Linked DNA regions of Drosophila melanogaster. Changing the gene in region 3 together with the main gene of any one other region gives a genetic interaction. Each region holds a gene or a part of one and is shown on either strand. Other genes may lie near its edges. The genes, in order: lab, pb, Antp and Taf3.

The links.
Region 1: of Antp (region 3) and lab, changing one suppresses a phenotype caused by changing the other (phenotypic suppression), as found in Drosophila melanogaster (one study listed by BioGRID).
Region 2: of Antp (region 3) and pb, changing one suppresses a phenotype caused by changing the other (phenotypic suppression), as found in Drosophila melanogaster (one study listed by BioGRID).
Region 4: of Antp (region 3) and Taf3, changing one enhances a phenotype caused by changing the other (phenotypic enhancement), as found in Drosophila melanogaster (one study listed by BioGRID).

What each region holds. Positions count from the first base shown.
Region 1 is NT_033777.3:6,675,563-6,680,316, forward strand, and holds the start of lab (labial), read right to left. Parts: upstream 3,029-4,754; 5' UTR 2,785-3,028; coding exon 1,569-2,784; intron 1-1,568. UniProt on the Drosophila melanogaster protein: Sequence-specific transcription factor which is part of a developmental regulatory system that provides cells with specific positional identities on the anterior-posterior axis. Required for proper head development.
Region 2 is NT_033777.3:6,739,014-6,743,634, forward strand, and holds the start of pb (proboscipedia), read right to left. Parts: upstream 3,051-4,621; 5' UTR 2,155-3,050; intron 1,162-2,154; 5' UTR 1,087-1,161; coding exon 537-1,086; intron 1-536. Other genes in the region: zen2 (zerknullt-related), read right to left, coding at 4,236-4,621. UniProt on the Drosophila melanogaster protein: Sequence-specific transcription factor which is part of a developmental regulatory system that provides cells with specific positional identities on the anterior-posterior axis. Controls development of mouthparts, and labial and maxillary palps.
Region 3 is NT_033777.3:6,996,191-7,000,750, forward strand, and holds the start of Antp (antennapedia), read right to left. Parts: upstream 3,039-4,560; 5' UTR 2,016-3,038; intron 1-2,015. UniProt on the Drosophila melanogaster protein: Sequence-specific transcription factor which is part of a developmental regulatory system that regulates segmental identity in the mesothorax. Provides cells with specific positional identities on the anterior-posterior axis.
Region 4 is NC_004353.4:460,797-468,830, forward strand, and holds the start of Taf3 (TBP-associated factor 3), read right to left. Parts: upstream 6,033-8,034; 5' UTR 5,874-6,032; coding exon 5,705-5,873; intron 4,520-5,704; coding exon 4,001-4,519; intron 3,945-4,000; coding exon 2,259-3,944; intron 1,706-2,258; coding exon 1,592-1,705; intron 1,533-1,591; coding exon 709-1,532; intron 618-708; exon of another isoform or gene 252-617; coding exon 1-251. Other genes in the region: CG33941 (uncharacterized protein), read left to right, coding at 7,055-7,198.

The DNA.
Region 1 (4,754 bases), 320 kb from region 3:
CCCCCATTCAGTTAGTTGCTATTTATTTATTTATTCGACTGACCTCAAACTCTTTGAAAAGCAATTAAAGGCTTACGCTCGAATTTTATGCAATTCACGAAGTATCAATAAAAATACTCGTTTTTTCAGTGGCAGCTGCTTCTTTTGGATAATCGACGACGTTTTATTTATCGCATACAATATGGACTTTTCTGATCTTTTTTATCAAAGCGAATACATTTTCTTAGCTGGCTAATTCCGAGATACAAAACTCCACTCGCCAATGTGACAAGTAACAACCTGACTGACTCTGCACAGGCATTGACAAAATTATCTGAAATATGCAAGAAATGTGCCAAAGGAGGAGAGTCCAGGAGAACGGCGACAGTTATGAGAGGCGGAAAGGGGCGTGGAGGTCGGGGAGAATCGAGATTCTGTAGCCGGGGGCTGTAGAGCCGAGGGCAGAGGTGGGCGAAATCTTTGGCATTTGAAGAGACAGGAATATTTTTAGGTGACATGCCCTCGGTTGGACGTCTTTCTTGACATTTTGTCTGACGCATCCACTTGTTTTATGTTTGCTAATATTTCTGCAGTGCTAATTGTTCATACTTATGATCAATCTATTCTTGATGGCCAAGTTCTCTAACTTATAAATGTACTCATAATATTGTTTAATCTGCTCGTTCGACGTCATTTCTTTCACAGTTTTATTCATCTTCTTCTGGTTTTACTGGTTGACTGATTCTTGTATCTTGGCCTGTCAATCAGTTTTGAAAGTCATCGTTTTACGCTTTTTGGTATTTACTTGAGGTTCTTTCTTATGCTTTTCTTAAAAAAATCACCATACGTATGTATAGAAGTGTGTGTATTTCTTTCCATAATAACTGTCCGATTAACTTAATACATTCCGTAAGCTATATGTGATCTATTGAGCGAACTATACGAGTTTAGAGAACTATAAGAGTTAAAATATGGCAATTAGCTAAGAATGCGGTTTCTTAATTGCCAGAGACTTTGCCTAATGAGACGCGTTTAGTTGCCCTTAGAATGCAGACATTGCGAATGTGCGAACAACTTGAATAAAAATTGCACAAATTAAATGTATTTGTATCCATTCACAAGGAAAGAAGGCAATTGTAGCGCTTGATAAAACGACTTGGGTTAATCTATTGGTTCTAAATTTGCAACAAGACCTTTTCACTATACGCCTCTACAACTCGCGTCATTCGAAATGTCCACGAATATAAATTTGCAATAGTTTCAATTAGCATTTAATTAGGTATTTAATATCAAACGACTACTTGATCAGTGTTAAAAATAAATAAAGAGAATTCAATTTTTTAAAGTAACCGAACCCTATATATTCATCTGATTTATTTAGAGAATATATCAGTAGGAGCATTTTTTTGTGTCAGTATTCTATTATATTTACCTTATTTATTATATAATTCTAAAATACTTAAAGAAGGGAATAAAAATTCGATTATTTAAGGAAAGAAAAACGGAATAAAATCATTCGGGACGTAGTAATTTGAGCCTGTTTCAACCATTGAAACCCTATTCCGAGTTTACTTTCTAGCTCAACTTACCTTGAGGCTTTGGAACATTCCTCTTGAGTTGCATCCACTTGTAGGTGGGGATGCTGCTGGAATGATTTGGCGACTTTGATTGCGTGCTGGCAGGATGTGCTCCATTCGAGGCGGAGGTGGAGGAGGAAGTGGAGCTACCCGGGGAGATCACTCCCCCGCGCTGCTGGCGATTCATTCCACCGTTGGGCGACACGGAGTTCTGGTGGTGCTGCTGGTGTGCCGCTGGGGATTGGTTCTGCGGATGTTGCGGTTGCTGGTGCGGCTGCTGCTGTTGCTGCTGGACTTGTGGCTGTTGCTGATGCGGATTGTTGGCCAAGTTGCCCAGGTGTCCGTGGGGCAGGCCGTGATGCATGTGGGCGTGCATTCCTAGCGAGTCCATGGCATCTAGGGCATAGCTGCCTGCCAGATGTTGCTGGTGGTGCCACATCTGCGACTGCGTGGCCTGCTGCATCATTGGATCCTGATCCTCCAGCACCATTCCGGGTGCATAGCTGGCGTGCAGGACGGCGGCGTATTTCTCCTCGATCTGGCCGGCATATCCGTGAACCGGAGCCTGAGCCTGGGCCGTGGGATACATGCAGTCCAGGTTGGTGTACATCATCCCGTTCTCGGAGCTGATGATTGCTGCCTGTTGCTGCTGTTGTTGTGTGTTGCTGGTGGCACTTGCATTGGCGGCGGTAATAGGTGAGCTATTGCTGGGTGGAGCAACTGTGGCCACTGCGGCGGTAGCGTAGTACGAGTGCACCGAGTCACTTTCGTAGTAGGAGTCCGCCGGAGAGTGGCTACTAGGATGGAGCGGCGTGCCCGGATTTCCCGTGGTCGTACTCGTGGTGATGCCATACTCCGCCGCACTGGGACTAAAGAGATGCGAATGCGGATAGAGCTGTTGCTGCTGCGCCTGCTGCTGTTGCTGGTGCTGCTGCACCACCTGGTGGCTGCTGGTGGGCGGTGGTGTCAGCTGCGCCTGCTGCTGCGGATAGTAGTTGCCTGGGGAGCTGCTCTCGTAGCCATTGTAGGTGAGGTGCTGCTGGGGCTGCTGCAAATGCTGATGCTGTTGCTGCTGCTGCAGCTGCAGGTGGGGCTGGTGTTGCTGCGGAGCAAAGTAGCTGCTGGCGTTGGCCGCCGACGCGGTGGTGGTGCTGTAGCCGTCGTAGGCATTGGCATGTGGATGGTGGTGGTGCGGGTGGTTGCCGTACATGCTGCTTACGTCCATCATATTGTCCAGCCGGAACCACACTTTCTCGCCACTCCGATATAACCGGTGTATCACTAACTACCCTTCACTTGCCACACAGTTCTTGAAATAGTTCTTTAGCTGTTTGCTTTCTAAGAATATTACGCGACGGTCGAGGGCTATCGACGTGGGTTTTATCTGTATCGAACCGAAAAACACGACTCCCGTTGGCGATGACGACGACGACGTGCTGCCTGCGCGCTTACCAAGTCGTGACTGATTACTGGCCCGAACCCGGTTTCTTTCAGACCGCACAACCGCTGGTCTTGGCCACGCCCCTCTGCAGACTGCCTGTGGTCCCGCTTCCTCTCGTGTGTGCTACATACGTGTTGCGACTGCCGTCTCGCTCGCTCCCTGGGATTCTTCGGATGACTGCCCTTATCAGTGGTTCGGGGGTTAGTCATACGTATATACAAATACCCGTATTTCAACTACCGGTTTTTGGCAGTTGCCGTTTCCATTTAGATTTTCTCGTTCCCTGTTTGCTCGTTTTTTTTTTGCTAGTCGCCATGGCAGGAGCGGATTGACGGCTACTCAAGATGGGAGTTCTATGAAGGAACTTGAAATTATGCAATGAGCTGGTGTGGAACTGGCTGGGGATGATCAGATCTCTAAAATGATCCTTATTAATGGGAAACACTTATATAGATCGTCGGTCCACCTAAGAACATTAAGCATTTTAAAGAAACTTGTTCTAGATCTTACTTAAAATGTTTTGAAACATCCAATTGACAATTCACTTCCCGTATGCCAATTAGAAAAACTTACTATTTCTTATCATCATAATAGTTTTACTCGAAGTCTTCTTCGCCATATATGGAAGTCGGGAAATATAAAGACCATTTATTTCTAATTTAAACTAATTCAAAACTATGCTCTAATCCAAAAAATTGTTGTTGTTATTATTGTTTTTAATTCCTTATATAGGTATTATTTAAAGTACTCTCTGTTAAAAGTATCTGAATGGTTTCTCAAGTGTAATTAAATTCTCTTTATAAAATGTGTATTTATTAATACTAAATAGTAGACAACTCTTCGCCCCGAAAATCTTTTCGCACATGTTTTGGGCCCAGTTCGTGTCCAAGTTAATCCACCCCTGCCGCCTGCTGATAGTATTGAAAGTTACGCCCCTGACCATGCTCATGTCGACGTCTTGTTTTAACTGGAAACCCAATGTTGTGTGTTTGTTTTGCGGTTTTGGCACGTTTTAGCACCTCGAAATTCCCAAATGAATTGACGGACAGGTAAAGAAGAGGAGCTTGCTATGGGATTGGAAATGCGAACCGGGCACTCGGAATGGGTTTTCGGCTTGGGAGCGGACCGGGGTTGCGACCAGGAGGAGCTGCAAACGGATGCTGACTGTGGCAGCTGTCAATCGTCATTTGCACATATGACAGCTCATCTATGGCAGCACTGTTGAATTTAAATCGTCGTCGAACGACTTCCCCGACCCCGACAGACCCCGAATCCTGACATTATCTCCGGACCTTGACTCTGACTCAGTGGGATGCAATTCGTAGGCGCCCCCTAAGAGTTATCCGGTGTATGGGTCTGTCACTTGGCAGGGATAGAGATACAACCGTCAGATATCTTCATGCACCTTTCACGCACAATGCATCATCTTTGGCTGTCTGGAAAACTTCGAGGTTCGCTCCTTCCACTCTCGGATTGGGAATTTTTCGTTTTTTGTTCAACTTGATTGACATTTTCACAAGTTTTTGTCTCTACACTCGCACGGGGAATTTCGGAGGGGGAGGTCGGCTGGAGTGGCCATTCGTTTCGTCCTTTCGGGCGGTCCTGCCCAACGCTCCAAGGTGATTTGTTATATTTTCGGACAGCAGCAATTAATAGTAACAGGATGTGTGCGAGTATCTTTCAGTAATCACATACATATGTATGTACATATACAACTAACATACCACGGCCCAATCCCGATTCCAAGCCTGAAACTA
Region 2 (4,621 bases), 260 kb from region 3:
CGTAGCCAGGCGATTTTCTTGGGTTCAGTTGCTCTTTGATAACCTTTGCTAGTTCACATGGTCGGAATTCAAAGGGTTCTTGAGGATCTAGATTGGCTGCTATTAAAGGAGGGAGAATAAATGTGTTGGTAGAGGGATTTGGTCGGAATACATTTTGTAAATGGTCAGCGAAAGCACTGGCTCTTTCTTCATCACTTCGAAACCAGGTGCCAGAGGGACTTCGTAGTGGCATAATTGGCGCTATTGGAGTCTTTAGGTTTCTGTGAGCTCGTGATTAATGAGAGTTTCGCATTTCACCAGCCAGTACACGGCAAGAAAAAATGGCCGGGACAAGAGAACCCAATTGATTCCGGTCTAAACTGATATGGAAAAGTGTCTATAAAAATATCTTACTTTTTATTTGATTGATTCAATAGTTTGAGATGGACTGATGAGATTATCGCCTATTCTTCAGAGAATGGTGTTCAAATTGACATGGTCGATCGCTAAATTAAAAACCTTATGCTTCCCCCAGTGTAATGTGCATGTGGACTTACCCTGATTGTTGTTGTTGCTGCTCTTGCGGGATGTCTTCTTCTCCTTCATCCAGGGATACTCCGGCACCGAGTCCATTCCATCCGGCGTTTGAGGGACAACGCCAACCGGATATCCGACTCCGACGCCGACATTGACATTAACGTTGACGCCTACTCCGCCAATGGCGCCGGATCCAACAGGTGTTCCGATTTTGGGACTCTCCGGACTCAAGTGGTTGAGGAATTCAGCCATCGACGGCTGCGAATTGATGAACCCGCCCTCGGATGCTGTCATCCAATAGGCCGTGTCCGCGCTCCGTTTATCACAGTTCGGGGTCATCTTGTTGACCATGAGCACCGACGGCACAGGTGGCACCCCCTGCTGTCCGATACCAGGCTGACCAACACTCACTCCCACGCCACCCACACCACCCACGACGCCCGCACCACCGCAACCACCCACTGGCAGGGACGTCTGTCCAGTTTGCACCTGCAGCGGGTTGAGTGGAGATTCCGATTTGATTTGGGTGCCCATTGAGGTCGTGTCCAAGGAGCTGCAGACTTCTTGCATAGCTTGGGTATAATTTTTTTTAGATTCTTTCTATTTCAATTCCTGAGCGTATTAGATGTTCCTCAGCTTGGGAACCTGGAAAGGAAAGCCATTTTTGTAATCTCATAATAATGTTATCACGATTCAGTTCCCAGGAAGTTAGAGGTTTCACTGTTCTTATCGAATGTGAAATTGAATAATGTATGTATATACTTCATTAAGATATGTTATCATTATCTTCATTAACCTTTTAAGAAACAAAGACATCGTCACTTTACTATGCTATTCAATGTTTATTTTATTATTATATTTATAATTTTTGAATTTTTATTTATATATTTTGAATATATATAATTTCAATATAATGTACGTATATACTTCATTAAGATATGTCATTATCTTCATTAACATTTTAAGAAACAAAAACATCGTCACTTTACTATGCTAATCAATGTTTATTTTATTATTACCGATCCAATTTTTCACATTGCAACTGTCAAAAACTTGACTATTTTTAAATTACATATTCCAATTTATATTTCATTAGTCTCTCAGTTTTCTGTGCCAGAAATTCATTTGTAGTCTGCATTTTTACTATTGCTCTTATAGAAATTGTTAGGCCTTCACTTTAAATTTATGGCCACCTAATTTCGATTGAGATTTGACAATATGTATTGTATGTATGTACAATACATACAACCTGTCCTACAATGTTACCTAAATTGGCTTGGTTCGCATACATTATTTTACATTATTTTTTTAAGGATTAATAGTCAGTAAATAAATTAACATATTTTAAACAGAAAAAGTTATAAAGCTGTTACATATCCTCATCTAAGAAATGCCGCATAGCTAATTTCCTAGGAAGTATAAATGAATAAGAAAATTCGAATATATTTTCCGATTCCGCCAATTAAAGATTTGAAATATTTCTTGCAGTAAACATTTTGCCGACTTAAAAGGCTCGTATTTTAGACTAACATGTTGTATCAAAAACGAAATAACGACACGCTTTGATTTTCTCGTGCTTTAAAAGGATACACTTATTTTTAAATGTAGGTAAGAAATATGTGTAAGATAATTTCGTACCATATTAAGTTGATCATTTACAGACCACAGTATTCCATATTTCTCCTCTTACGTTGACATATGCGTTCTTTGTGGAAATTTCACCGGTATCACTTGGGTCACCGTTTTCACTATTGTCTGCACTCGCTCATAGTAACTGGCTTAACTTTTTGTTTGTTTTTTTTTTTTAGTTTCAACCGGCACAACTTTTGCGATGCGGGTTTTGCGTAAAACTTCAGTGTGTCAGGGCTTATCTGTGGGCCGCGAAAAGAGGCGACAACCGCGACGAGAGCGAGGGAACCCAGATCCGAATGTAAATATGGCCACCGTTGTGTTTGCTCAACCGTCAAGTGGTGTTTGGAGTTGGTTTTTCGCTTTCAGGTTGACATAGACACACACCTTTTGGCAGCCATGGCGACGCGAAAGGCCAACACAACCGACGAAACAACGGCGATAACGACAATAGTGCAAGTACGCGCTGTACAACGGTGCGTATGCGGAATGTGTTGATTTTGTAGAGTTTTGTAGAGTCGCTGCGATCGCTGCAATGGCCACACACAGACACACACTCAGTCGTTGCAATTCGTCTGAGATAGTTTTCTCCACTCGCACTCATACACATGTGGGCACTAGCTGTCCCTCTCTGGCCTTCAAGAGGTGCGCAGAACCGGGTTTCCAGGGGTTCCTAAAGTGCTTCTCAACCGTATAGTAAAACTTTTGGTTTCAACTCGTTTTAATAATATCACTTTTTAGTTTTCAAAATTTTTGAACTATTTTTGTAGCTGTCATTTTAATAAATATTATTTTTTAGATACCGAACCGATTCGTAGCGAGAGCGAGACAGAGGGCTTTTGGGGAGCTTCGTGCGGTTCCCGAGAGCTAGATAGCAGCCAACAACCATTCCATCCAATAGCACCGAACGCACTGAACTGGGATTTTGGGACCCAGTATCAAGGAGTGGCCTAAGCGACAGCCACCGCATCCATCACGCTTTTTCCTGGTCGGCACATGCGCGGTGCCATCTGGAAACTGGTTACTATAGCCATTACGCGCAGAGACCAGGGGGTGGAGTTCACACACACCGGCGCACAAGTCTCCGGCCCTCTGATTGGCCGGCTCGGCAGTTTGTTTTGTATCTTTGCGGTCGTGTAGCTCGGGAACCCCTGTATCTTGGGCCATCATTTCCGCGGCGTTTTCTTGCCTCATTCACTTTTTTCCACTTCCAACGCGAACGTGTTGCTTGTGACGGAATTTATTTGGTTTTTCTTATTTACACATTTCGCATCTGCTAAAAAATGAAAAGAAAAAGCCACAGTAGCGAGTTTCTCGCTCTCCGGCTTTTTTGGCTTTCGGCTATGGGTATTTTTGACATTTTGCTTCGCTCATCGCTCTTTTTGTTTTGGGCGCCTCTTCTCCTGTCAATCTTGGTGGCATTGCTTTTTGCCTTTTGGCCGCTTTTTCGCCCTCTTTTTGCTAACGTTCTCCAATCCAGTCCGCGCAGAGTTTGTAATTATGTGCGGATTTTAATGCACACGGGTGTCACTACAGGTGTAAAAATATTGCCACGATTTTGCACTGCAGCTGGGGGTGGTGTTCGTACTTGGACGCTCTGACGAACAAGTTGTCTGACAGCAGGGAGCTATGTGATCGGCAGTCTACGTAATGACGATGCGCACCATGAGATTGTTTAAAATTGTGAAAAAGATATATGTGTGAAAAATACAGAAACTTTGAGGAAGCATTAAGTAAAATAAAAAGCCAAGGCCATTCATTATAAATATCATATAAATAAATGTTTTAACAAGTCAAGCTTATTTAGTTTCTCAACTGTATCGCCCACTAAAATGGAATTTTGTCTAAAAATATTTGATTTGTCTGGTGGTGAAATTTTTGAAAATCGAGTCCGCAAAATGTATCCCCAAATGCTGCACAACCAGCATTTTTTGTTTGAACAAATAAATGCGCACATTAATTATAAAACATATTTTATTTCATCCAAAATAAGTAATAATAATGTAGTCACAGAAAGATATTGCTCGTATAATACAATGATTATATATGTATGTATGTACAGTTGCCTAAACATATAGTCAAAGATATATTTAAAAGTTCAACAAATTTTGAATAAAGTCATAGTCAACATCCAAAATATCCGACGATGAAGCAGAAGAGCTATTCGAGTCCCAGCAGAAATTCTGTATCATTGGCTGATCCTGTGTATTGTGTTCAATTACATTTTCTGCGATAGGAATCGTTGGCTCAAGGCCCAGCCATGAACTCGCCCAGTTAGCATCGAATTCATTGAAGGGCAGTTGGGGAAGAGCCATGGGCTCAGGAGAAAATTCATGGAGGTAATCGTAGCTCTGATAGGGTGGTGTAATTTGACCCTCCTCCAGGACACCGTGATCAACCTGCCGGAGTGGAGCTGTTTCCACATTTGTGTTGGCATATCGAAGGAGACGCTCTACGATCTGGTCGTCCTTTTGAA
Region 3 (4,560 bases):
ATGATTAATTAACCGACTCATGTCGCCATCTATCAATGGGGGCTTAAATATAATTTTAATTTCAAAGGCAAGTCAAACAAGTTTTCTTTGTGGTGGTCGGCTGTTTTCGTTGAAGCTTTTTGTTGGATTCGTTTTATTAACAACAATTTCGTTTACTTTTGTTGCTAAGTTTTGGGCTTTCGGCCGAATCTCAGAGGTCGTGATTAATGTTTTTACAAAAGAGTTGTCGCCATTGGTGTGCTGATGTATAAATCTTTTTGCTGCTTTGCCATGAGTGTGAACTTGATTAAGAATCCGTTTAAAAGGAAGTGGTTGCTCATGTATAAGGGTCTAAATATGTTAGTAAAGAATTGTAGGACTTAAACAAAAATAGTCTAGGGAAATGTGCGTTTTCATACAAATTTTGAATATTTTCCCCCCATTTCTCCCAATTGCATCGGTGTTTTTTCTGTCTGTCACTCGGCCATAAATCATAAAAGTTTTTGCCGGGCAAACAGAACGGAGTTTATGATTTTGTCAGCTGTGTAACATTTCCAGCTGATAAAATCAATAAATTATGAGAAAATAATTTCATTTGATGCCATCTATTTGATTTTGCAAAAATCGAAGCTGGCAAAAATGCAAATGGAAATGTGTTAACGATAAGCAGGCTGAAAGTAAAAGCCAGGATAAGTTCATTAAAGCCCTTTTGGACAGATCGCTAGAGATACTTTCCAAATTATGGAACAGATTTTTAAATGTTTATTAAATTACGAATAAATTCCGCACCTCTGTGGGGCGCAAGTGCAATGAGAGAGCGGGAATGGAGAAAGAGAGAAAGGTAAAAGGTAGCGAGCGACAGACAGAGAGGACGACAAATATGCAAAGGCCAGACAACTAGGACAACAACAAAATCAGCAACAACAAGGACAATGCACTGCAACAATGGCCGCATAAATTTTCTATGCGGAGAACCCGAGAGTGTCCTGTTCGTCCAACTATGTGCGTGTGTGTGTGTGTGTGTATGAATGTGTTTGCGTGTGTGTCTGAGAGAGAAATGGCTGCCCTTTCCCACCATTCGGAAGTGAAACTATGTTGCCCAGGATATGCGCAATAATTCAAAAACGAATTCCAAGTTCAAAGAGCCCATTACTCGTGGCCAGTTAAGTTCGGAGCTCCGTTTTCAGTTTTCCAGCTTCAACTCCCGGGATTCCTGAAAGCATCCCACCACCCCTCCTCCCACTTTGCAAATTTATGCAAATGGCTAATAAGCCTGTCAACAGTTTGCAGTTTGCAGGCCAAATGAGTGATGACCTGGCTGTAGCTTCCGAAAAACGCCCTTTGAGTTATGAAGTGTTGAATCTGAGTTCGGGCAAAAAACTTATACCTTGCCCACTGCACATCGAGAAACAGATGCGCTATTCTTTGTACAGAGTCATTAATGTCAAAACTTCCACATATTTAGACAAGTATTTGGAAATGTATAAAGTTTCCGTCGGCATATACATAGACTGATATTCTAATCCATGTAAGCTTCATTGAAATGATTGATTTTATTCAAACATTTAATGGACAGCTAATAGTAACATAATATACTTATGTCAACCATTTTTTCAAAAATAATGTTAAGAGAACCTCACAATCATTTTTGTTTAAAAATTATATATAATTTTTAGTGACAATCGAATAATTCTTTGACGGTATGCATAGATGACATTACATTACATGTACAATTACCTTTGCAATTATTTAACAATATTGATTTTTTACTACAATTTAAAGTTAAGATTTTTTCTTCACTTTCAGTTACGATTATTATTAAATTGAATATTTGAAATAGTTTGGATAGGCAGAAATAACATAAAATTTGTAGTAAAATATAATTATAATCAATTTAAGCATTGTTTTCAAAACGCATTAACCATTTTTGTGAATAAAGACATTTTAATCCCAATTGGCCAATAAAAGAAACATATAACCATTTTGATTTCAGTGAAGAAGGTGAGGAAATTGAAAAGTCGAGCCCTGGCACTTACCTCTTAAATCCAATAACGTGCGCTTATCCTTCAATCCTGCTGGCTTTTGGAATTCTCAGCTAACGGTAGCTTGCACGTGCGCCAAAATAAAAAGTTTGCCCGCAGTGGAATCGAAACTTTTTCCGCTCCTTATTCTTTTCCGTTTTATGTATTTTGTTTTTTATTATTTATTTTTTTTTTGTGTTATTTTGGCTGTCTACGTTTTATTTCTGTTGAATTTGTTGTGGTTTGAGTTGAAAGCTTCAGCTTTTGTTTGTTGCTAGTGTGTAGATATTGCTCGATTTACGGGGGACTAGAAAACGTTGTTGTACAGATTCGAGTTTTCGGTGCACGATGCGTTTTTAAGAATAGATAAACACTTAGGTAGTAGGATTTGGCTTGATAAATTTGAACTCTAGCTCATTTGCAGCACAGTCAGCCCAGATCCATTAGTAGTATTGCACAATATGTGGATGAATTTTAATTTGAATCCAGACACCTGCCAGACACTCGAACATCATAAAAAGAAACGCGCGCGAAGTTCAATTCCAATTTCTCTGACGGTGTTTTTGTTTGCTGTTTATGCGATGGCGCCTGCGATTACAATTACGATTACGGTTACGATTACGGTTATTATTATAATAATGGGTTTATGACGATCTGCGCCATGCGATGGACAGTGTGCGACTGATTGCGGTTCTAATTTTTTACGATTATTGTTATGATTATTTTTACGGCCTTTATGATCTTAGCGGGCTGACAATTGGGATAAGAGAGCGGTCGCGACGACGGAGAGCGAGCGAATACGAATGCGAATAGTTCAGTTCAGTTTAGTTCAGTTCAGTTCAGCTCCGAGAGCCCAGCCCCAAGATATTGGCCGCTATAGCGACTACGGAATACGGGGCACCGAATACCGTTATGCTGCTGGGATCCCTCTCGCACACACACACATACAGTCGCACGTGGGCTAAGTCAACGGAACACGGACGGGTCCTCGAGTGCTTTGTTGTGTGATGTTGATTTCTTTACGACTCCTATCAAACTAAACCCATAAAGCATTCAATTCAAAGCATATACATGTGAAAATCCCAGCGAGAACTCCTTATTAATCCAGCGCAGTCGGCGGCGGCGGCGCGCAGTCAGCGGTGGCAGCGCAGTATATAAATAAAGTCTTATAAGAAACTCGTGAGCGAAAGAGAGCGTTTTATTTATGTGCGTCAGCGTCGGCCGCAACAGCGCCGTCAGCACTGGCAGCGACTGCGACCGCGACAGAGGTCCGATTCTGCTTCTGCTCCGGTCATAAAGTATTTTGCAAAAGAACCGTTCTGCTCTCGTTGCCATTTTGAGTGACTGAGAGAGCTGAGCGAGTGGGAGCAGCGAATTGGCGCCTGACTTGAGTTGACCGGCTTGAGTTGCCGGCCCGAGCTCGCTGAGCTGCAAACTGTAGTCAGTCTTCAAAAGAAGATCTTATGATGCACATCCAGTTATTTTCGATTATTCAGTTCCCAGATTTATTTTGGTTGGTATATTTGATTTCACTTTTTTATTAGGTTTTTAAGAAATTTGTTTCATTCATTTTGGTTTATTAAATACAATTTTTTGCAAGGTTCAATTTTAAGTTTCTTTCTCTTAAGTGCTCTTTTCAGTTTCTCTAAAATCGAAACTATTTAAAATTCGATTGTCTGGGCATTATCGAGTAGTTTCTACTTTTATTTCGAAGAGCGATTACTATATCTTTATAACTTAATATCTTTATACCTTTTTAACCATTCTTCTGGACTATATGGTCAATCAATTCATTTGCTTTTAATTTCTTAAAATAGCGTAACGATGTGAAAGATGTGTACATCTTCAGTTTACTTGTTTTTAAATTTTTGCGGTCAAATCTACCATTTTGTGGGAGACCACCTTCTATAAAATCAATTAAAATAATTGTACAATTTACAAATACGGTTCTCTAAAGGCCTTGTGTTGACTTTTTAGTTTTTAAAGTATCAATCCGTCGATTACTTCAGACTGAATCATTAATTTACAAACTCATTTATTTATTTATTTTACCAGTGAAAATAATCTAAAATAGGGTTTTGCAATGGAAAGGTCGAAAGTTTCTGTTTGCCTATTATGTAAAATAATTGTAAATTGTTATGCTGCTTAAGTACTTATAAGAGTAAAAAACGTTTTTGATTTCGATTGTCTCGATTTTTTATCTTTTTTAGATGTTCTTAATTAACGCTTATAGATATGGTATATAAACGTATAAACGTATCTTTTAATAATTATTTTTGTAAATATACCACAACCATACATAATTAACAGTTTTGTATAGCAAATGTGATTTGCCCGATGAAGTCATATCTAGACGTTTTGATATCTCATTATCGGCTAACATTCGATAATCGGGAGAATGATGGCCGCCGTGAATTATGGAACCCGGAATACGGTACTTGGAACCGGGGAGTATGGCATCCAAACATCCACTTGCCGACGGCAAAACCATCATGGCCGAGTTTATATCGAAGCGCGCCAACAACAAATCACATGCACGCACACATGCAGGCCATCACTC
Region 4 (8,034 bases), on a different chromosome or scaffold from region 3:
TCTGAAGACAAAATCGTGGTTTGCTTTAGTTTCCCTGCATCTGTCATCTCCTTTTCTGAAGACGAAAATAATGTAGATTTTCCACTAAGTTTTAGTGTTAGTTTTGGTATTTGATTTGGAGATATTCCACTTGTGGCGGCACCTAACGATGGATTTATTGTCATGGAACTTGATTTCAATACAGGTTCATCGTTGTTAGCTAAAGGCACCTTGTCAAATTCTTCTGTGTCATCTGGTATATGGACTAAAATCTAAAATAAGAATTGATTAAACTATAAATTTAACTTTAAAAGATTTTGCTGAGATATGTGTATAGACTAAAATAAAATTTGTAAGAACTAAAAATATAACTTTAAAAGATTTGGCTGCTTTACATGTTTATGTAGGATTAAGATGTTTTTGTACCTATACCAAGCTGTAGGCTTCGATGTTATAATTAGTCACAACAGTCTATATAAGTATTAATACAAATTTGGAACATAATGTATAATGTATAATGCATAATGCATAATTTAATGTTATTATACGGAATATGTTCACAGAATTCATGATTTTAAAAATGTTTCCCACATAACTTGCTGTTTTCAAATGAGTTTGTGTACGTACTTATCGCAAAGGTTGCTTATCAGCTCCGGCGTATCTACATATCTGATCCAAATACCACAACACGAACACCTATTTTTTTATAAATAAAGAATTGACACAAACCTGCTTATCTTTATCCTTTTTCTTTTCTTTTTTTTGCCTTTTATCATTGGCCTTTATTTTCCGGTCGGATTTGAAAGATGGTAAGCCAATCTGATCCGCTTTCTTTGATTTGTCCTTTTTCTCTTTCTTTTTTTTATTTTTCCCTTCTTTAACCTTTTTTAGCTTTTTGTGATGTTTCCGCATTTTCGGTTCCAACGACGTTAATCCAGTTGGTGTTATTGTAATATCTTCGTAGTTAGAAAAGGTAGAAAAAATATTGTGCTCTTCTGAAATTTTGATTTGATTCGGTATGGTTCCACCTAAGCTACTGAATGGTACTATTTTGGAGGAATATTCCGAATCACTCACTCTCGACAGAGGAATAAGATCTGCTCCCCCAGCTAAACTGAATTTGTCACCTCCCATAAAATTAGGCAAGTTAAATTGTGGAAATGATGAATGTGAAGCTGGCGTGTGGGGTACGCTTTTTACATCGGGAAAACTCTGTTTAACAAGTTTTTTAAATTTTTTAAGTGGTTCGTTAGAGCTTAGAGACACAATATTCCTTAGATCCATTTTGGATTTTTCTTCACCATTAGATGCAGCTGACGTAAACGAGGAGGGATTTAGTTCTGCGAAGCTGGTTTTAACATAAGTTGGTGATGATATTGGGGTTTTTCTTTGAACCATCTGCCTGTTGTGCATTGATTCATCTGAATCATCTGAAACCTCTATTGGATCATCAGGATTTCCAGAAGCCTCCAAAAGCGGTTTCGTGTTTATTTTGCTTGTAGCCTGTGCAGATGGGTTTTCCAATATTGTGCTGGCACAAGATACGCTTTTACCTACAGATATAAGTAATAAGTTATTTTTAAATTACAAATATATTTACCGTTAAACTTACACTCGGCGAATTTCATTGAGTCAGGTACTAATGGAGCAACATTGCAGTAGTTTCGATCCATTTGCAAGTCAGTTTGCGTGGAAGATCGGCTCAGAAATTGATCAGAATCAGTAACTAAAAATTATTTTTTCTAATCATTATAAATATTTAAATATTTTGGTCGACAAATAATTCACATATTGTAGGTAGGTACGTATTGTCAATATAAAAAAAAAATTTGAGCTCCTCCAAATATCTAGTTTATGACAAACGCAAATATTTCATACTAACCCATCTAGAAGCTTCCCAATACCACTTCTTGAGTGTGTACCTATACCTATTTTCTACATTCAACGGTTCAATGATTAGTTTCAGATTAGTATTTTTGCTGTAATGAATTAAGATATTGCCGAGACTTTTATGTAAGCAATATATTCTTCGAGCTGTGATACTCGAACTGGTATGGTAAAGTAAAGTTTGGGTCAACAAACTTCAGCTGGGTTTATGTCTCTAGAATCTTTATGCTTAATCTCAACCTACTAGCTTTTTATAGTTCATGAGATCTCGACGTTCATACGGACGGACAGGACAGGATCAGATCCACTCGGCTATTGATCCTGGTCACGAAAATATATACTACGTATATATACTACGAGCAATGCGTATAAAAATAACTCATTTGACGTACCAGGAGAATCCTTAATTGGTGGACATCGAACAGTATCCGCAACTGATTCTTCTGGTCCAGGATAATCTATGAACGGCGAAATAGGTATTCTGTTACCGTGATTCCCGAAGCCAACTAAACCAGTGACTGCAGGAAAAAGCCCAGGTCCAGTAGGAATAAGACCAGGTCGTGGTGGAAATTGCAATAAAGGAAGCAACGGAACCATTCCTGTTTGAATTCCAGGGTAAATTGATGCATTTGACAAAGCATTGGATATAGTCACAAATTTATCTGAACATTGTACATCATTATTTTGTTTTGTGGGTCGAATAGAATTATGTAGTGTTGATGCCTTTTCAGGAGAACAGCTCTTGTCTAATTGCATTACATTTTCTGGTAATGATTTGTACTTTTTTCTGTCCTTTTTTTCTTTTGCATACAGGTTTGACAAAAAATTATTCGAGGGCTGTTCGGTATTACACAAGTTGAGAGGTTCTGTTGGCGGGGAGACGTTTAAAGAACTTTGGGTTATTATCATTGGAGATGATGATAGAGGCAGTGTAATAGCTTGGCTTGACTTTTTCCGTTCGACCTTATTAATTAAAGGTTGCGATACAACATTTGTTTGTTTTATTACATTTTTTCCTCCAGGTTTGCGACCTCGCTTTTTTGGCTTTGGCGAATCAATAATTGACATTTCAACGCCTGCTTTAGTTAAAGGTATAGTTCCATCGAATATATTGCAAGGGTTGATTTTCATACTCGGAACGTTTTTGTTTTCAGAATTTAGACCAAGTGAAGGTGTAGGAGTTATAGTAGTCCCCGATGGAAGACTAATTAATGCTGAAGGGGTCATTGTGCTTCCAAATACAGATACCCCGGTTCCAGGAGGTACTAAAGTCGCCCCAATATCTGGACGTGGAGTACGTGGCTTAGAAATTTTCTTAAAAATGTCCAATTTACTTCGTTCTGGTTCTGATCCACTTTTTTTTTCTGCCAATAGCACTTGCGTTTGTTGAATTACAGATGGCTGCACTGGATAAATTGAATTTCGAAAATTATTTTCAATCTGGCTTGTTACTGTTGGCGGCTGACTAGGGATATCAGCTTGTAAAGCATTTTCATTTGAGTTAGCTTTTATGGCAAGGCCGCTCGTAGTTTGAGAATTCTGCAAAAAGTGTTTTTCGTCGATGTCCAGTTGAAGATCATTTTGCTTAAGTTTGGACTGCTTCTTAAATATTTTTTCTAAATGTTTTTTATTTGGATCGAAGGATCCGCGGTTAAATTTTTTTTTTAACTTTTTCATGTTTTGTATTTGATTAATTGAGCTGTCTCTTTGGTTCTTTGAGGTTTGTTTATACATTTTTAAAGCTTTTCTCTGTGACTTTTCCTGAGCTTTTTCAAACGGATTAGTTAGAAGTTCGCTTTGACCGGGTTCGCATATTAAATCATGTTTCTGTTTTCTATTCTTCTTAGGTGTTGTAACAGTTAGCATCGTATGGTTGTTAGACGCATATATTATTGAAGACTCTGAATGTCCACTTGTCAATAATGCAGCATTTTGTTTGAAGATTTTAGTTTCTGAGGGAATGATTTTTCGTGGATTTACTGTTTTGTCTCTGTCAGAAAGCGCCAGTTGTGGAGATTTTTGTAACGAATTTACAATTATCGTCGGTGAAAAGGGTGCATCCAAACCTAAAAATTTTTCTATAAACACCGATACATGAAAATTTATTAAGCTGTGGTATAAGGATAGGTCGTACCAACTATATCCGGTATGATATCTTCGGGGAGCTTGCCTTCAATAGCTGGACTTATGAATCCCCCTGTTGTCATTACCACGCTGCTCATTTCGCGGACTGAGCTCCCAACGTCCAATTCAAAGGCATTCGACCGGAAATTTATCACAGTATTAGGAGAGATAGAATCAATGTGCTTGGCGCCTAACTTATCAGCTGCGTTTGTTGAACTATACTCTGCTTTTGAACAAAACTCTTGCTTTTCCGAAAATTCCTTTTGAACATCGGCTGGAATTTCACGAAGTTCGGGGTCCTGCATTGGTGGCAAGTATTCAAATATGTAGACAGGTCGCGTTAGAGTTTCAGCGCTTCCAGGCTTAAGGAAGTTCATGTTTACAGATTTTCCAATGGGAAACTGTGGTACATCCCGGATGAATCCAACAGGCTCGACATTACCTATGTAGTCCAATAGTTCTTGAACATTGATGCTGAGATTTTTTATACTTAAGCGTGCATCCTTAAGGTTCGGCTCTATCCGATTTGCTAAATTAGTAATATATATACTTGTCAATTAATATTTTTATAAATTTTATCCAAATAAACAAAGCATTTTTGATTTTTTGTTTGGTTTTAATAAGATTTTTTTGAACTCATATAAATAACGTTATTAAGTAACATACCAAGCAAAATTAAAAAGAAAATATAAGAGAACGCTTTAGTCGAGTTCCTCAACTATTTATTTTTATTTCTGTTCCGGTGGTTACAAGGAAGATATATCTTAATCTAAGATATATCTTAATCTAAAATATATCTTAATCTAAGATATATCTTAATCTAAGATATATATAAATCAAAGATTTATTGTTTTTTTTTTTTTGGTGTTTACAAGACAATTAATGAAATAATAATTTGCAAAAAATACAATCTACATGCCTATTGAGGTTTCATAATCCCCAATCGAGACCCCGGCAGTCCCACAATTCATCGCTCCTTAAAAACATCCCAAGATCATCGGTTTCGCCCACAGTACCAACTGCTTTGGCTGCACAGCCACAAGCAGGGAATCAGCAATAAATTATGGATCTTTTATTTCCAGCCGAATGCTAAGCTGACGCTCTAAGTCGCCGAGCACATAAGTTTCGTAAGAAACTTTAAATTTTTAATGCGCATCGGAACTAGAGAAATTATATACTGATGTAGGTGAAAGGGACTGGGCGAGGAAAAGGGAAATAACAATAAAAGAAAGAAATAAATTAAAAGATTACTTTTCTAAGAGGCACGCTTCCTTTTTCGCGGATAACTGGGACTAGATTTATGCGAGTAGCAGGCGCGAGCTTAATCAGGAAATTCCAATGGCAATGGATTCATTTTACACGCAACAACACGTACTACTCGCAGAAGCGATGTACATTTTTCGTAATACATTTCTGTACACATTATACTAATATATTTTACTTTAAGGTTAAACGGACAGGTTGACCGGTATTCTAACGCAACTGAAAGCAAAATGCCCTAACTCCAAACAAAATTGTTTTAATGATAAATAATGATTTATTAATGATAGTCTGATGGAACTGCAGGGATGATAAGTTATACATTTATGTACATGTACATATATGTCACATACTTTTTATTGAATCTCTTATTCTACAAGTAACGACTATAACTACTCAGGCTTTGTTGTATTTCATGATCGGTTCCGTTGATTTGAGGGTCTATACCACTTACCGTGTTCCATATGTCTATGCATGTCTCGAGCGAACTCCTGTACAAACTTCTGCAATATGTCTTGCAACAACTCCAAGGGTGCACTTAGAGTGCAGCTGTAACCAATAGTTTGCGTTATCTGCGCAACGACAACAAGGGCCAAATCTGAAGCGTATCTGTCTGCCATCATGTTCTTTCATGAGGTACACCTTCTTTAGAAAACCTTGGAAATGCTGTGAATAGGTTTAACCGTCCCACGAACTTCCTCTTGTTATTAAAATTAATTGACTTGGTGTCTACACCTTTATTAGACGAACTACAATCTGTGGATGTTTAGTTAACGATAACTTATCGATTTTGCCTTTGATGGGAAATATATCGATATTTGGGGTATGCCAAAAGTGGTAATCATGGGGTTCAATCAAATTCAATTGATTGACCAACATAAACAAACTGCAATTTTTTATGTGGTTTGAAAGTGGTTATAAGGGCAGATAAAAGGTTTGCTTTCGGTATGTTCGCTGTTAGTGTTCGAATAAGACACAAATTTTGAAAATAAGACGAAAAAGTTTTCTAATCCTTCTATTCTTTAAAATAGATATTGAACGATGGAAATATAATTAGAGCTTGTTTAATAATAGAGCGCTTGAATGCAGAGTGAAACGAGAGTCTTGTGTTGTTACCCGTAAAAATGTTTTAGTTTTACTACTACTATTACTATTATTACTACGATTACTTACTACAAATTTTAACAGCATCTAATGTTATGTTTATTGTGGAAAGAAAGTAATGCCCAGAACAGCTATGAAATTACCGAATAAATAATAATATAATTATAAATATAAATAATATATATAAATATAAATTTAATAAAATAACATTAAGCCTAAAATCGCTTCAAAAATATCATGTGAACTATATCCCAAACATGTGTATATATGCAGGTAATTTAGTGGAAAGAGGGTATAATGTATAATGACACAAAACTACTGATAGAATACTAGTTATATTTTCGATCAGTTTAGAAGAAACTTATATCTTAAGACATTTATTGGGTTAGGTATTGTTTCCCATATATGTTCTAGTCGAGTATTCACACAAAGAAGCGTGCGACAGATCTTCGGCACTTAATATTTTGTATTTGTAATAATGTAAAATATAAAAATTAACAAATAAAACAACTATATGAACATTTGCATGTGTTGGGTATATGTGTAAGTCTAATAAAAAGTTTTATTCTACTTAAAGCTCAAATCCTTTAAACTTTTCAGCTAGTTATTGAAATACTCAGTATAAATGAGTAAGAAGATCTCCATCAACATTGATCTGACCAACGTTTTACTCCTTTTTTAATCTAATAAGAACTAAAAAATGCAACCATTGAACTCGAGCATTGATAAAGCAAAACATTTTTTCATAGAGAGCGGGATCTTAGGACCCGTTAACTTTAAATATTCTCATGACATGATTCGGAAGACGTCTACCATTCACATTGACGAAACTCTTAAGAATCAGGTAAGGGTGGATAATCTGATTCCCAACGAATACACGTTTACACCTATGTTAACCATAATAGGTGTATAGGTATCGTATTTCCTTACATATACTGAAGATTTCATATGCAGTCGGTCAGTTATCGAGTAACTGGTTAGTCCGTCTGACTATCAATCTGAACGCTGTGATCTCGGGAACAATGAAAACTAGAATATTGATATTAAGCATTAAGACTCAGTCACAGAGTCTGTAAGAGTTTGTTTCATGCCGTTGCGACGCTTGCTCCAACGACGACGCACCCTCAATATTCATACGGTCACAAAAAATCAATCAACCACTAGCAAAAACACGAATACACTTCAGTGCGCAGATTTCTCATTTTGCGCATAATGTACGAGCTCAAAGAAGCTGGAGTCGAAAAAATGGAATTTTTGAAATTTAAAAGCTGGAATCGTTTGCTCATTTGTTGTCTTTATTTGCCCACGTTTGGCCACTCTTTTCAATTTTGAAAAAGTGAATACTTTAGAAAATATGAGACGTTCTAGTTAACCTCGGTATTATTATTTTGACCATCTCTTAAAACTAAATATTATAAAAAAAAACTTTTGCCCAATCAGTATTCTTAGTTTTTATCGTTTGTCCATCCTTTAAAATTAGTTTTTTTCGTTTTCCCATCCTTTAAAATAAGTATTTTGAATTAAAAACGTTTGTCCAACCCTTAAAAATTTTGTTTTTTTGTGTTCCCACCTATTAAAACTAAATTTCTACATATGTATGTAATAATTGTAAGTTGTGGCGCCAATTCGCATGTTTTAGGATCGGCGGACAAATTCACATATGTACTTATATGATGATGA